Schizosaccharomyces pombe: one gene and its partners. Changing the gene in region 3 together with the main gene of any one other region gives a genetic interaction. Each region holds a gene or a part of one and is shown on either strand. Other genes may lie near its edges. The genes, in order: otg2, otg3 and gmh1.

The links.
Region 1: mutations in gmh1 (region 3) and otg2 impair growth when combined (synthetic growth defect), as found in Schizosaccharomyces pombe (one study listed by BioGRID).
Region 2: mutations in gmh1 (region 3) and otg3 impair growth when combined (synthetic growth defect), as found in Schizosaccharomyces pombe (one study listed by BioGRID).

Annotation. Positions count from the first base shown.
Region 1 is NC_003423.3:3,120,271-3,124,315, reverse strand, and holds otg2 (alpha-1,3-galactosyltransferase Otg2), read left to right. Parts: upstream 1-1,867; 5' UTR 1,868-1,911; coding exon 1,912-3,030; 3' UTR 3,031-3,545; downstream 3,546-4,045. Other genes in the region: cytoskeletal protein Syp1, read left to right, coding at 1-112; tif306 (translation initiation factor eIF3f), read left to right, coding at 510-1,418; alpha-1,3-galactosyltransferase Otg3, read left to right, coding at 3,959-4,045.
Region 2 is NC_003423.3:3,118,184-3,122,493, reverse strand, and holds otg3 (alpha-1,3-galactosyltransferase Otg3), read left to right. Parts: upstream 1-1,968; 5' UTR 1,969-2,136; coding exon 2,137-3,267; 3' UTR 3,268-3,657; downstream 3,658-4,310. Other genes in the region: alpha-1,3-galactosyltransferase Otg2, read left to right, coding at 90-1,208; proteasome core particle subunit beta 1 Pre3, read right to left, coding at 3,867-4,275.
Region 3 is NC_003424.3:162,742-166,925, forward strand, and holds gmh1 (alpha-1,2-galactosyltransferase Gmh1), read left to right. Parts: upstream 1-1,986; coding exon 1,987-2,976; 3' UTR 2,977-3,594; downstream 3,595-4,184. Other genes in the region: SPOM_SPAC5H10.10 (NADPH dehydrogenase), read left to right, coding at 219-1,397; alpha-1,3-galactosyltransferase Otg1, read right to left, coding at 3,679-4,184.

The DNA of each region.
Region 1 (4,045 bases), on a different chromosome or scaffold from region 3:
TACTTCTTCTAGTGGAGGTTCTCAGCTAGAAAGTGCTTATGAAGAAACGAAGGTTCCTACTTCCTATGGTATTCATGTTCGTGAGTGCTCTGTTTTTGCTGATATGAGTTAAATTACTGTTCATTATTAGTCAAGAAAAAGCAAACTGCTTTTTTGGGTTTTATGTTTACACTTTTTTGCTAACCGAATTTTTTGAACATTGTATATATATATAAATGATTTTTAACCAGAGAATGTACAAATGTAAATAGTTATAGAATTTTGAATAAAGAGTTTCTCATTATTGTACGTACAAATGAGACATTGTTAAGGAGATTTTTTAGATTATTCAACGCAACTGAAAATACACTTTCTTAAATGGTAAACCTTAGAAGTTAGGCGAAAAATAGTGTCTTCAATTTAACGAATTCTATGAGACTGTAAACTAGTACAGTAAAATTATTATTGATTGGGGAACAATACCAGATCTACCTACCTGAGAGTAGCCAACAACGTGAAAATTTTAAAAAATGGCTTTGGGGACTAAGCACGTACTCCATCTCACAAAACCGTCTTCCAGGTCAAGTCCTTTGAACATTGTCATTGAACCAGCAGTGCTTTTTTCTATCCTTGACCATTCAACCCGGAAAAGTGAAAATAATCAACGTGTTATCGGTACACTTTTGGGAACACGTTCTGAAGATGGCCGAGAAATTGAGATTAAAAGTTGTTTTGCAGTTCCTCATAATGAGAGCAGTGAGCAGGTAGAAGTTGAAATGGAATATCATCGTGCGATGTACCATTTACACCTCAAGGCTAACCCTCGTGAAGTTGTCGTTGGTTGGTATGCTACTTCTCCTGATTTAGATGCTTTCAGTGCACTGATTCAAAATTTATATGCTTCTCCTGCTGAACCCGGAACTGCTCCACTAGGAACGTATCCTCATCCCTGTGTTCACCTTACTGTCAACACAGATGTTAGCAGTCCCCTTGCCATCAAGACTTACGTTTCTTCACCAGTAGGTATTACAGAGCGCCTTGCTGACAGCTGTGCATTCGTCCCTACCCCTTTTACCATTCGTGATGACGAGGCAGTCCGTTCTGGTTTGAAAGCTGTAGCTGCTCCTAAGAATGACCCATCTAGACTTGCTAGCCTATTCACAGATCTCCAGCAACTTCGAAGATCAACCTTGGAGCTTTTATCTATGATTGAAAGAGTTTCCGATTATGTGCAAAACGTAATTGATGGTTCTTCGCCTGCTAATGTTGCTGTCGGTAGATATTTGATGAAGTGCTTTAGTTTAATTCCTTGCGTAGAAGGCCAAGATTTTGAAAAAATTTTTTCATCACATCTTCAAGATGTTTTGGTTGTAGTTTATCTCGCAAATACCTTACGTACTCAAGTGGATATTGCTTCCCGTCTTAATTTGCTTCCCTAAGCAATTGTTATAACCTAAAAAATCCGGACAATTTCTAACAGTTGTTCGATAGCCCTTTTTTCAAGTCACCGTTATTTTATCCTTTTTTCACACTGGCTGTTAACCCTCAGTGGAAGCAACTGTCTTTATCTCGTCATTCACCCATTTCGACATAGTTTGAGTAGCTTAGCTTGTCGGTAACTATTTAGTATTATACTATAATTGGTTTAGGTTAAACGTCTTATTAAATAAGAGAAAATTTTAAGTCAGAGTCATGTATCTTAACATTTCTTATAGTTAAAATAGTAAGCTTGTTTAATTTTTAAACATTTGATGTTTTTACGTTATAAAGTCGATTTAATTATGTTATTTGTTTTTCAGGGTGTTGAGTTTGTTTTGGTATTGAAAGTAAGCAAAATGTGTATGATGCACCAACAAACATTAAGGGAGTATGTAGAGTAATTCTCTCCGAAAGCACCACCATTTTATAATTTGGCAATCAATTGCCATTAAAATGCGTTTATATTTTAGTGCTTTTCGCCATCCCAAACGACTAGGACTGTGTTTACTGATTACCTTGAGCATTATTTTATTAGGTTGGCAATGTGTTTTGCTATACAATCATAGTCCAGAAATACAAAGGTCAGTTTACACACTGACAGGGTTGGCGCCCTCTTCTAAGATGGCATTTGTAACTATGCTTACTGTACGCGCCGCTAATGGGGAAAACGAAGTAGAAAATACGCAACAGGATTGGTATTATAATTCAACTAGGCTTCTCGTTCACCGACTTGTCAAATTTAAACCTACGAAAAGCAAGTATCCCGTTGTAGTGCTAGCCATGAAGGGAATTGATCAGTGGAAGCTTGATCAATTGCAGGAAGACGGAGCTATTGTTAAAGTAGTCGATCCACTATATGCTCATGAAGTGGTTGACGATGTCAATGACATTGCCCTACTGGATTCCCGATGGAGTATGATGTTTACCAAGTTGAGAGTTTTCGAAATGTACGAATATGATAGAATATGTTTTCTTGATAGTGATATTTTGCCTATTAAAAAAATGGACAAAGTTTTTGATGTTCACCAACTCTCCTATAGTAAGGATTCTGTTCTGTTTCCTCCCACCCTATTCTACAAGCCTAGGCGCAGCATTTTTTGGAGACGCTTTACAGAAGAGTTTGCAGCTTACGGGCTGACAAGAGACGATCTTTATCCCTACGTTTTCGCTGCTGTGTCCGATCCAGGTATGTGGCATGAAACTCCTCCTCCTTTTAAAGATTATTTTAATGCTGGTCTATTCGTCTTTAAGCCATTGAAGGCACATTATAAAAGGTTAATGGCATTAGCAAGGTTTCCAAAATTGTATGATAATGCAAACATGATGGAGCAAAGTTTGCTAAATTTTGCATACAATTCAGCAGGTGCTTTTCCATGGGAGTCACTTGATTGGACTTTTAACGGACTTTGGGCTAGAAAAAATGACTTACCATATCTAAAAGCAGTTCATGGAAAACATTGGCAACCAGAAGGAAGTCTAGGTTATGATGAAGACACATCCAAGCTATGGTGGGATGCGTTTCAAGAAATGCAAACGTATCATGACCAACAACGTAATGCTGATTTATATTAAACAGATGAAAGCAATTTTCATGTCGTGATCAAGTAAAAAATAAGGCGGCTTTTGACTTTTAAGAAGCAGTTATTTTCATTTAATGTATTGCTGACAACACGTACTGTTGAAAGGCTATCTCATTTTTACAGTCATTCTAAAATAATTTGTGTTTCCTCCGTCCTTTTTTAAAACCACTATACTATTCAAATTCATATACACGATCGATGGGATTCTGGATACAGGTAAACCATAATCAAAAAAATAGCTTCCTCTCTGTATGCAAATTAGATCACGTATGTTTAAAACTCACTGAAAGTTCAATGGTTTCAAGAAATTTTGCTCCTTCTTAAAAAATTCCTAATTAGTGTAAAGAATCAAGTGTTAGTCCTATCATCAATTTTAAAATTGTAAGCAAACATGTTATAAATGCTTTTTCTTTGACCAAAGGAAAACCAACGGATTTATATAAAAATTGCTAATTAGTGAGCATACGTATCCTTAGCATGTTTTTCATTTTTAGATTTCAATAAGACATTTGAAAATGTTTTAGGTAGCAAATCTATTTAAAAGTTGTTTTAAATATATATATCAAAGAAGGCTTGGTTTTAGATAGAGTGAAGATGGGATAGAAAATATCAATAGCAAGTAATTGATAAATTTTTTAAACCTTTTAATGTCAAATAACAAGTACTGTAAACTCAAATAATCTTAAAATTTTACATGAAAAACTATACTTCGTACGCATTACATCGTACCTTTAGTCTCCTAAATTGTAGTCAGCCACTACCAAACTCAATAATACAAACTACATTATATTTATTGTATTAAACCTAGCAAGTCTTAACGAGATATAGTCAGTTATAATCCTAGGGTTTTTATTATTCTGGTGGGGATTTTATAGCTATAAACGAAGTTGCGGAAAGCGATAAAATTTGCTTTATAGAATATGAATTTCTTTAAGCGGTTACGCTTACATACCAGGCTTCTACTTCGCTCAAAATTTGTCTTGATTTCACTAATTCTTTTGCTGAAT
Region 2 (4,310 bases), on a different chromosome or scaffold from region 3:
GATGCACCAACAAACATTAAGGGAGTATGTAGAGTAATTCTCTCCGAAAGCACCACCATTTTATAATTTGGCAATCAATTGCCATTAAAATGCGTTTATATTTTAGTGCTTTTCGCCATCCCAAACGACTAGGACTGTGTTTACTGATTACCTTGAGCATTATTTTATTAGGTTGGCAATGTGTTTTGCTATACAATCATAGTCCAGAAATACAAAGGTCAGTTTACACACTGACAGGGTTGGCGCCCTCTTCTAAGATGGCATTTGTAACTATGCTTACTGTACGCGCCGCTAATGGGGAAAACGAAGTAGAAAATACGCAACAGGATTGGTATTATAATTCAACTAGGCTTCTCGTTCACCGACTTGTCAAATTTAAACCTACGAAAAGCAAGTATCCCGTTGTAGTGCTAGCCATGAAGGGAATTGATCAGTGGAAGCTTGATCAATTGCAGGAAGACGGAGCTATTGTTAAAGTAGTCGATCCACTATATGCTCATGAAGTGGTTGACGATGTCAATGACATTGCCCTACTGGATTCCCGATGGAGTATGATGTTTACCAAGTTGAGAGTTTTCGAAATGTACGAATATGATAGAATATGTTTTCTTGATAGTGATATTTTGCCTATTAAAAAAATGGACAAAGTTTTTGATGTTCACCAACTCTCCTATAGTAAGGATTCTGTTCTGTTTCCTCCCACCCTATTCTACAAGCCTAGGCGCAGCATTTTTTGGAGACGCTTTACAGAAGAGTTTGCAGCTTACGGGCTGACAAGAGACGATCTTTATCCCTACGTTTTCGCTGCTGTGTCCGATCCAGGTATGTGGCATGAAACTCCTCCTCCTTTTAAAGATTATTTTAATGCTGGTCTATTCGTCTTTAAGCCATTGAAGGCACATTATAAAAGGTTAATGGCATTAGCAAGGTTTCCAAAATTGTATGATAATGCAAACATGATGGAGCAAAGTTTGCTAAATTTTGCATACAATTCAGCAGGTGCTTTTCCATGGGAGTCACTTGATTGGACTTTTAACGGACTTTGGGCTAGAAAAAATGACTTACCATATCTAAAAGCAGTTCATGGAAAACATTGGCAACCAGAAGGAAGTCTAGGTTATGATGAAGACACATCCAAGCTATGGTGGGATGCGTTTCAAGAAATGCAAACGTATCATGACCAACAACGTAATGCTGATTTATATTAAACAGATGAAAGCAATTTTCATGTCGTGATCAAGTAAAAAATAAGGCGGCTTTTGACTTTTAAGAAGCAGTTATTTTCATTTAATGTATTGCTGACAACACGTACTGTTGAAAGGCTATCTCATTTTTACAGTCATTCTAAAATAATTTGTGTTTCCTCCGTCCTTTTTTAAAACCACTATACTATTCAAATTCATATACACGATCGATGGGATTCTGGATACAGGTAAACCATAATCAAAAAAATAGCTTCCTCTCTGTATGCAAATTAGATCACGTATGTTTAAAACTCACTGAAAGTTCAATGGTTTCAAGAAATTTTGCTCCTTCTTAAAAAATTCCTAATTAGTGTAAAGAATCAAGTGTTAGTCCTATCATCAATTTTAAAATTGTAAGCAAACATGTTATAAATGCTTTTTCTTTGACCAAAGGAAAACCAACGGATTTATATAAAAATTGCTAATTAGTGAGCATACGTATCCTTAGCATGTTTTTCATTTTTAGATTTCAATAAGACATTTGAAAATGTTTTAGGTAGCAAATCTATTTAAAAGTTGTTTTAAATATATATATCAAAGAAGGCTTGGTTTTAGATAGAGTGAAGATGGGATAGAAAATATCAATAGCAAGTAATTGATAAATTTTTTAAACCTTTTAATGTCAAATAACAAGTACTGTAAACTCAAATAATCTTAAAATTTTACATGAAAAACTATACTTCGTACGCATTACATCGTACCTTTAGTCTCCTAAATTGTAGTCAGCCACTACCAAACTCAATAATACAAACTACATTATATTTATTGTATTAAACCTAGCAAGTCTTAACGAGATATAGTCAGTTATAATCCTAGGGTTTTTATTATTCTGGTGGGGATTTTATAGCTATAAACGAAGTTGCGGAAAGCGATAAAATTTGCTTTATAGAATATGAATTTCTTTAAGCGGTTACGCTTACATACCAGGCTTCTACTTCGCTCAAAATTTGTCTTGATTTCACTAATTCTTTTGCTGAATTTGGGTTTACTTTTAGGGATCCAAATATATCGGGATCCCGCATTTCCTGGATCGCTAATTTCATCGGCAGCCTATGAATTTGGGCTTCATAAGCATGGCCCATATTATAACGATAATGTAGATGATTTAAAAAGGTATACATTTATGGGCTTACTTACCCTTCCTACTTCAGAACATGATGTATACTTCAATGCTACTCGAGTACTAGTATACAAGCTGAAACATCATCCTGAAACGAAAAGTAAATATCCCGTTCATGTCCTTGTTATGAAAGGGGTTGATGAATGGAAAATTGAACGATTGCGACTTGATGGGGCCGAAATAATTATGGTCGATCAAATTAAAACTGAAGACTTAATTGAAAGTGGTTTGTCTATTGGCATGGGCAGTTATCGTTATCAATACATGTTCACAAAACTCAGTGTATTTGAGCAAACACAGTTTGATAAGGTCTGCATTCTGGATAGCGATCTCCTAGTATTGAAAAACATGGATGACATTTTTGATACTCCCTATGTTTATGAATCTCCTGCAGAACCCGATATGTTTAGCTTTCCTATCTTTAAGAAGCCAGATGATGAAGAGGATTATCAGTTTAGCGACAATTTCGATGCCTATGGTGCTCCTCGCTCAGAATTCTATCCATATCTTCTTGGCGCATGTGACGATCGTAACCCTGGACATGCGACGCCCCCAGAAGAATCTGAAACTTTTAATGCCGGGCTGATGCTTGTTCATCCCAGTAGTCTTCATATGCATAGGATTAAGAAGATAGCACGTTATCCTTATATGTATGACGATGCTAGAATGATGGAACAAAGTTTATTAAATCTTGCTTATAATAAATATGGTTGGTTTCCCTGGACGAGGCTCGATTTTTCATATAATGGAGTTTGGGTCACCGAAGAGGACTTACCCTATCTTCGTGCTGCTCATGGTAAATTTTGGGAATATGACAACACGGAGTTTCCCCAAATTTTGACTGCCGAGTGGCATAAAGCGTTCGGAGAGTTGCTGGCTTTTCATGACTATGTTGTAGAATAAAAAATGAAGGGGGGCGTTTATCTTTAATGTTTTCATGCTTCATTATTTTTTTGTCCCACTTCCATTCCTTGACCTGTAACTACGGTGTACCTGTTGAAGAGCTTAATACATATCTCACCGTGTATATTCTTACCGTTAAAGTTTGTTCTTTTCACATAATTTCTGCATTCAATTTTAAACAAAAAAAGACACATCATATTTTATTCTTCTTTAGAAGGGTCTACCGGTGTTCGGACTAATTTTATATTTTACATGGCTGATTACAATTTTCTTGTATGAAGCTGATAATCAAAATTTTAAATGTGCTTGCAGGCATCTTACAACATTTTTACTCTTATGACAATTACATAGGACTCATAACAATAATATTCTTTCACTATCAACAATATAACTACACTTCGGTAGTTAACTGTAACTATAAAAAATCTTTCTATTTTAATCATCACAAAGACTTATCTCACTGACCAGAAAAGTAACTTTTCTTCATGACCTTGCACTCCAAAAGCTACAAATAATGAGACAGGCATTAATAAGGTCAAGTCTAGCATAAGCATTGGGTATCAGTATAGTCACGTAAAATAAAAGGAAACGTGAAGTACTTAGTGAGTAAATACGGGAATAGGGTTAGCAGTATCAATGGCAAAAAATTTACGCTCCATTCCATCTTTATTTAAAATGACCATTCGAATGGTACCACCACTGCTGCCATCGCGTTCCATGGCTAAAGCAACAGCGTTCTTTAAAAATTCAACAGCCTCCTCTTGGGTCATATTTTCGCGAAAGTTAGCATCGCAAAATCCATAAATAAAAGCAGAACCACTTCCTCCAATAGCTAAAGGTTGCTTATGCAAACTACCACCTAACGGAATACTGTAAACATCTCCCCCAGTTTTTTCATCATATCCAGCAACAATTAAACCTGCACTAAGCATATTTTTGTTTTGATAACACATTTCAGAAGCTAAAGTAGCAGCTGTATGAACACTAGGGTCATGGCCAAATTGAATACTTCATAATCGTTAGATAATTTTTTTAACAACAAT
Region 3 (4,184 bases):
AACTCTGCTACAGGGCTACAAGTCCGTTCATCTATTTCAATTCCTCCTAAACTTCATACACAAAAAGATTTATAAGATCTTCACTTCTTTTGTGAAGTTTTCAATTTTATTATTTTCCTTTTGATATTCAAGGTATTTTCGTCTTTAGCGCTACCTAATAAATTTTTTTTGATCAAAATTCTCCATCAGGTCTGCTCTTTTCTTTGATACACACCAGGATGGCTGTTCAAAAGTTATATGAATCGCAGAGTAAATTGTTTCAGCCCATTAAGGTTGGTAACATGCAACTTCAACATCGAATGGTTCACGCACCGGCTACCCGTCTACGATGCTTAGATAATGGCCTTGTAATGACAGATCTTGTGAAGGAATACTACAAGCAACGCAGTTCGATTCCTGGCACATTACTCATTACAGAATCATTATTTTCAGGCGCAAAGTCGGGAGGCTTTAGTAATATCCCTTGCTTGTACAACGATGAACATGTAGAAGCTTGGAAACCAATTGTACAGGCGATCCATGACAATGATTGCTTTGTGTTTATACAGTTTTGGAACCTTCCTGGAGAGCTAAAGGTCGATTATCTTGAAGATCAGGAAAGGTTGGAAAAAGTTACACAAGGGGAATGCCCAATGGATCCTACCGGATTGCCTGCTGCTCTAGGCAGTGCCTACTCTATTTGTGGAGAGGAGCTGTATGTCGATAAATTTATGACAAAACAAGATATACAGGAACACATCACAACGTATACTGAAGCAGCGAAACGAGCTGTTTTCGGTTGTGGTGCAGATGGTGTTGAAGTTCATCAAGTGAATGGATTTCTTTTGGACAAATTTGTACTAAACGGCTATGGTGACAAATGTGATCCGGAATATTGTGGGTCTTTAGAAAATCGTGCTAGATTTTGCCTTGAACTTCTAGAGTCTGTCGTGAATGCCATAGGTCAAGAGCGCGTTGGATATAGGATTTCTCCGTTTTCAGATATTTGGAAAGACAAGGATTCTTTTGAGGCACACGTGTTTATGATAAAAAAAATAAAGGAGAGGTTTCCTAATTTGGCCTATTTACATGCTATCGAACCTAGGCAATACTGGAATGGGCATGTGCATATAACGCAAGAAAAGAATACATTGATCTACAAAAACCTTTGGGGGGATCCATTTATCACTGCAGGTGGACATGACCGAGACTCGGCCATACAAATGGCTGAACAAGAAAACACTTTAGTAGCGTTCGGGAGGTATTTTCTATCAAATCCAGATCTCCCATTCCGACTCAAGTATAACCTTCCCTTAAACAAATGGGACCGCGCAACTTTTTATACAAAGATGAGTCCTAAGGGTTATATAGACTACCCATTTTCGAAAGAATTTTTGGATACCAAGAAGGTTGAGTGAATGACAGCGGGTAATTTCGCTAGACCCTTTTTAGTCATCAAACAACTTGTTACAGGTGCGAAGTAAAGAGCCAGTACTAGACGACTTTTTTTTTCCAATAATTATTTCCAACATTTTAAGAATTACAATACTGATACTACCTGAAAAATATTTGGAAGCTTTATTGTACGTTTTAAGACATATTGTTTCGCGAAAGTGTAATAACGGAACAAATAATAAACTTCTTGTCGGAGATTTTCTTATGTATTGCTGAAATAATTTTTAGTTTGTTTTAATCCTGTAAGAATATTCATCGTTGAGTTTACTTTTCTAGTTCAAAGCTCGCTTAACTCAACCTAAATTTACACCACGGATAAATTGTGATGTCAATATGCAATGAAGCCGCGTTGATAATTATTCAGTCATAAATATTCAATATGTTCAAGTCCAGATAATTACACATTATATCTTCAGAGGCTTCAATTTTTTACGAACAACATCAATTTTTTAAAACCTGAGCATAATCTATAATTTTATAAACGTAGTTTTCCGAAACAACGAATCACTCTTTTATTAATTTGCAGATCAAATCACTCTTTCACAAAACAAAATGCTTTCCTTTTTTACAAAAAATACCTTGACTAAAAGGAAGCTTATTATGTTAGCTTTGGCTATAGTTTTCACCTTTTTTGCCTTCGGGCTATATTTTATTCCGCACGACGAGATTTCTGTTTTTGATTTTAAACTTCCTGCACTTCAATATGAAACTACGGTGACATCTCTCGATAATTTTTTGATCGGCGGAAGCACAACTTTGTATACAGCAACCGTTAATCACGAAGATCTCAATGAACCAAAATCACATGAAATAGTAATGCTTCTTGCTAGCGATGGAAACGTTGGAAGTTTTGAATCTAACTTACTAGATGATTGCTTTAAAAATCGTATAGAGTATGCGAAACTTCAAAACTACAATTTTGAATTCGTTAACGTTTCCAGTCTGGTAGTGCCACCTGTATGGGGAAAGATGCCCGCAATTCTACAAACAATGCGCAAGTATCCATCCGCAAAATGGATCTGGTGGCTAGATCAGGATGCTCTTATAATGAACAAAAATCTGTCCTTACAGGAATTATTTCTCTCACCTGCAATGCTCCAAAAATCATTGCTTAGGGAGCAACCAATTATAAACTCTTTCGGAGAAGATAATTTCAGAATCACTCCAGCGGCTTACTCCAAGGAAATGATAGAACAAATACAATTTCTAATTTCTCAGGATCATAACGGATTGAATGCAGGAAGCTTTTTAGTACGAAATTCAAGATCCATCGCTTTACTAATGGATTTATTGACTGATCCTTCTTTGGCAGATGCAGGAGTCGTGCGTCATGAACAAGATTTGATCGGCTATTTCATTCAAAAACACTCGCAGGTAGCTTCCATGGTTGGCATTCTTCCTCAAAGATTTATCAATGCTTTTCATGAAGGACCCCCTACAATGCAATGGCAAGAAGGAGATCTAGCTCTTCATTTCGCTGGATGTTGGGTTGAAAACAAATGCGCCGAGTTATGGACTAAATACAAAGATAAAATAATTTAAAAGGCTAAATCAATGCCCAAGTGTCGGCGCGTTATAGCCTCTAACATTTTCAATTGCATTTACAGTTAATTTATTATTACTATTTATCTTTTACTTCGTTATATTAATGCCGTCTTATTTAAACATAAATGATTCGCTCCATAAATAATTATGAAGCTGCACATTTTTACAAATCTAATTAATTTTCTTAAAAAAGAATAAATTCTATAAAATGCTTCAAAAACAACCCTCTAGACATAAAGTATCTTTTTCTAAAAAATATTAATGTCTAACACTAATTAAACTATCCTGTTTGGACCTCAGGCTAGTTTAAGCATCAAAAATTGCTAAACGCTTGTGATAATAATTAAAATTGGGGTTTGTTCATAAGGTCTAATGAGTCCATAATGAAGGAGAGATGAGAGGTATATTAAAATCAACCGCAAGTCCAAAATTATATTCTAAAAATAGGCTGACCGAAAGCAAATCACCGCTAACGGGATTTATAGACAGACGCAGGTAATAAAGTTGTATACATAGCCAGCAATCAAAGAAAGCTGAAGAGATCTAAACAATGTGCGTTTAGACAATAAGGATAGCAAGTCTAAAATAAAATTATGGTAATAAGTTAAAGAAATTTTCAAATATATAACATACAATTAGATTTTAACTTCTAATTGTAAAATAAGGTCACAATACAGAAAAAAGAAAGGTATTCCTCCTTTAATGAGTTTCATACTTATGAAAAGACAGCATTTCGCCATAAGCAGCATACCAGTCAGCTAAATATACTGGTGCAAATTCTGAGCTACCAATATTCCAGAATTTTCCGTGTGCTGTTTTTAAGAGAGGACGTTCGTCAATTGAGGGCCACACGCCATTGTAATAAGGATCAAGACGAGTCCAGGGAAACCATCCGTCCAAGGAAAATGCAAGATTCAACAAGCTTTGCTCCATCATTTTGGCATTCTCATACATATAAGGAAACCTTCCGATTTTAAGTATACGGTTAAAATGAAGCTCGCTTGGACGTATAAGCATTAAGCCAGCATTGAAATAAGGAGTATCTTCTGGAGGTATACTATGATGCTCTCCTCTATCAGAGACGGCTGCGAGAAGATAAGGGTAAAATTCGCTTCGACTGGCACCATATTCTTTAAAATCCTCATTGAAGTGATAGACGGTATCATCATCAGGCTTCGTGTAGGAAGGTAGCCGTGTATAGTTCA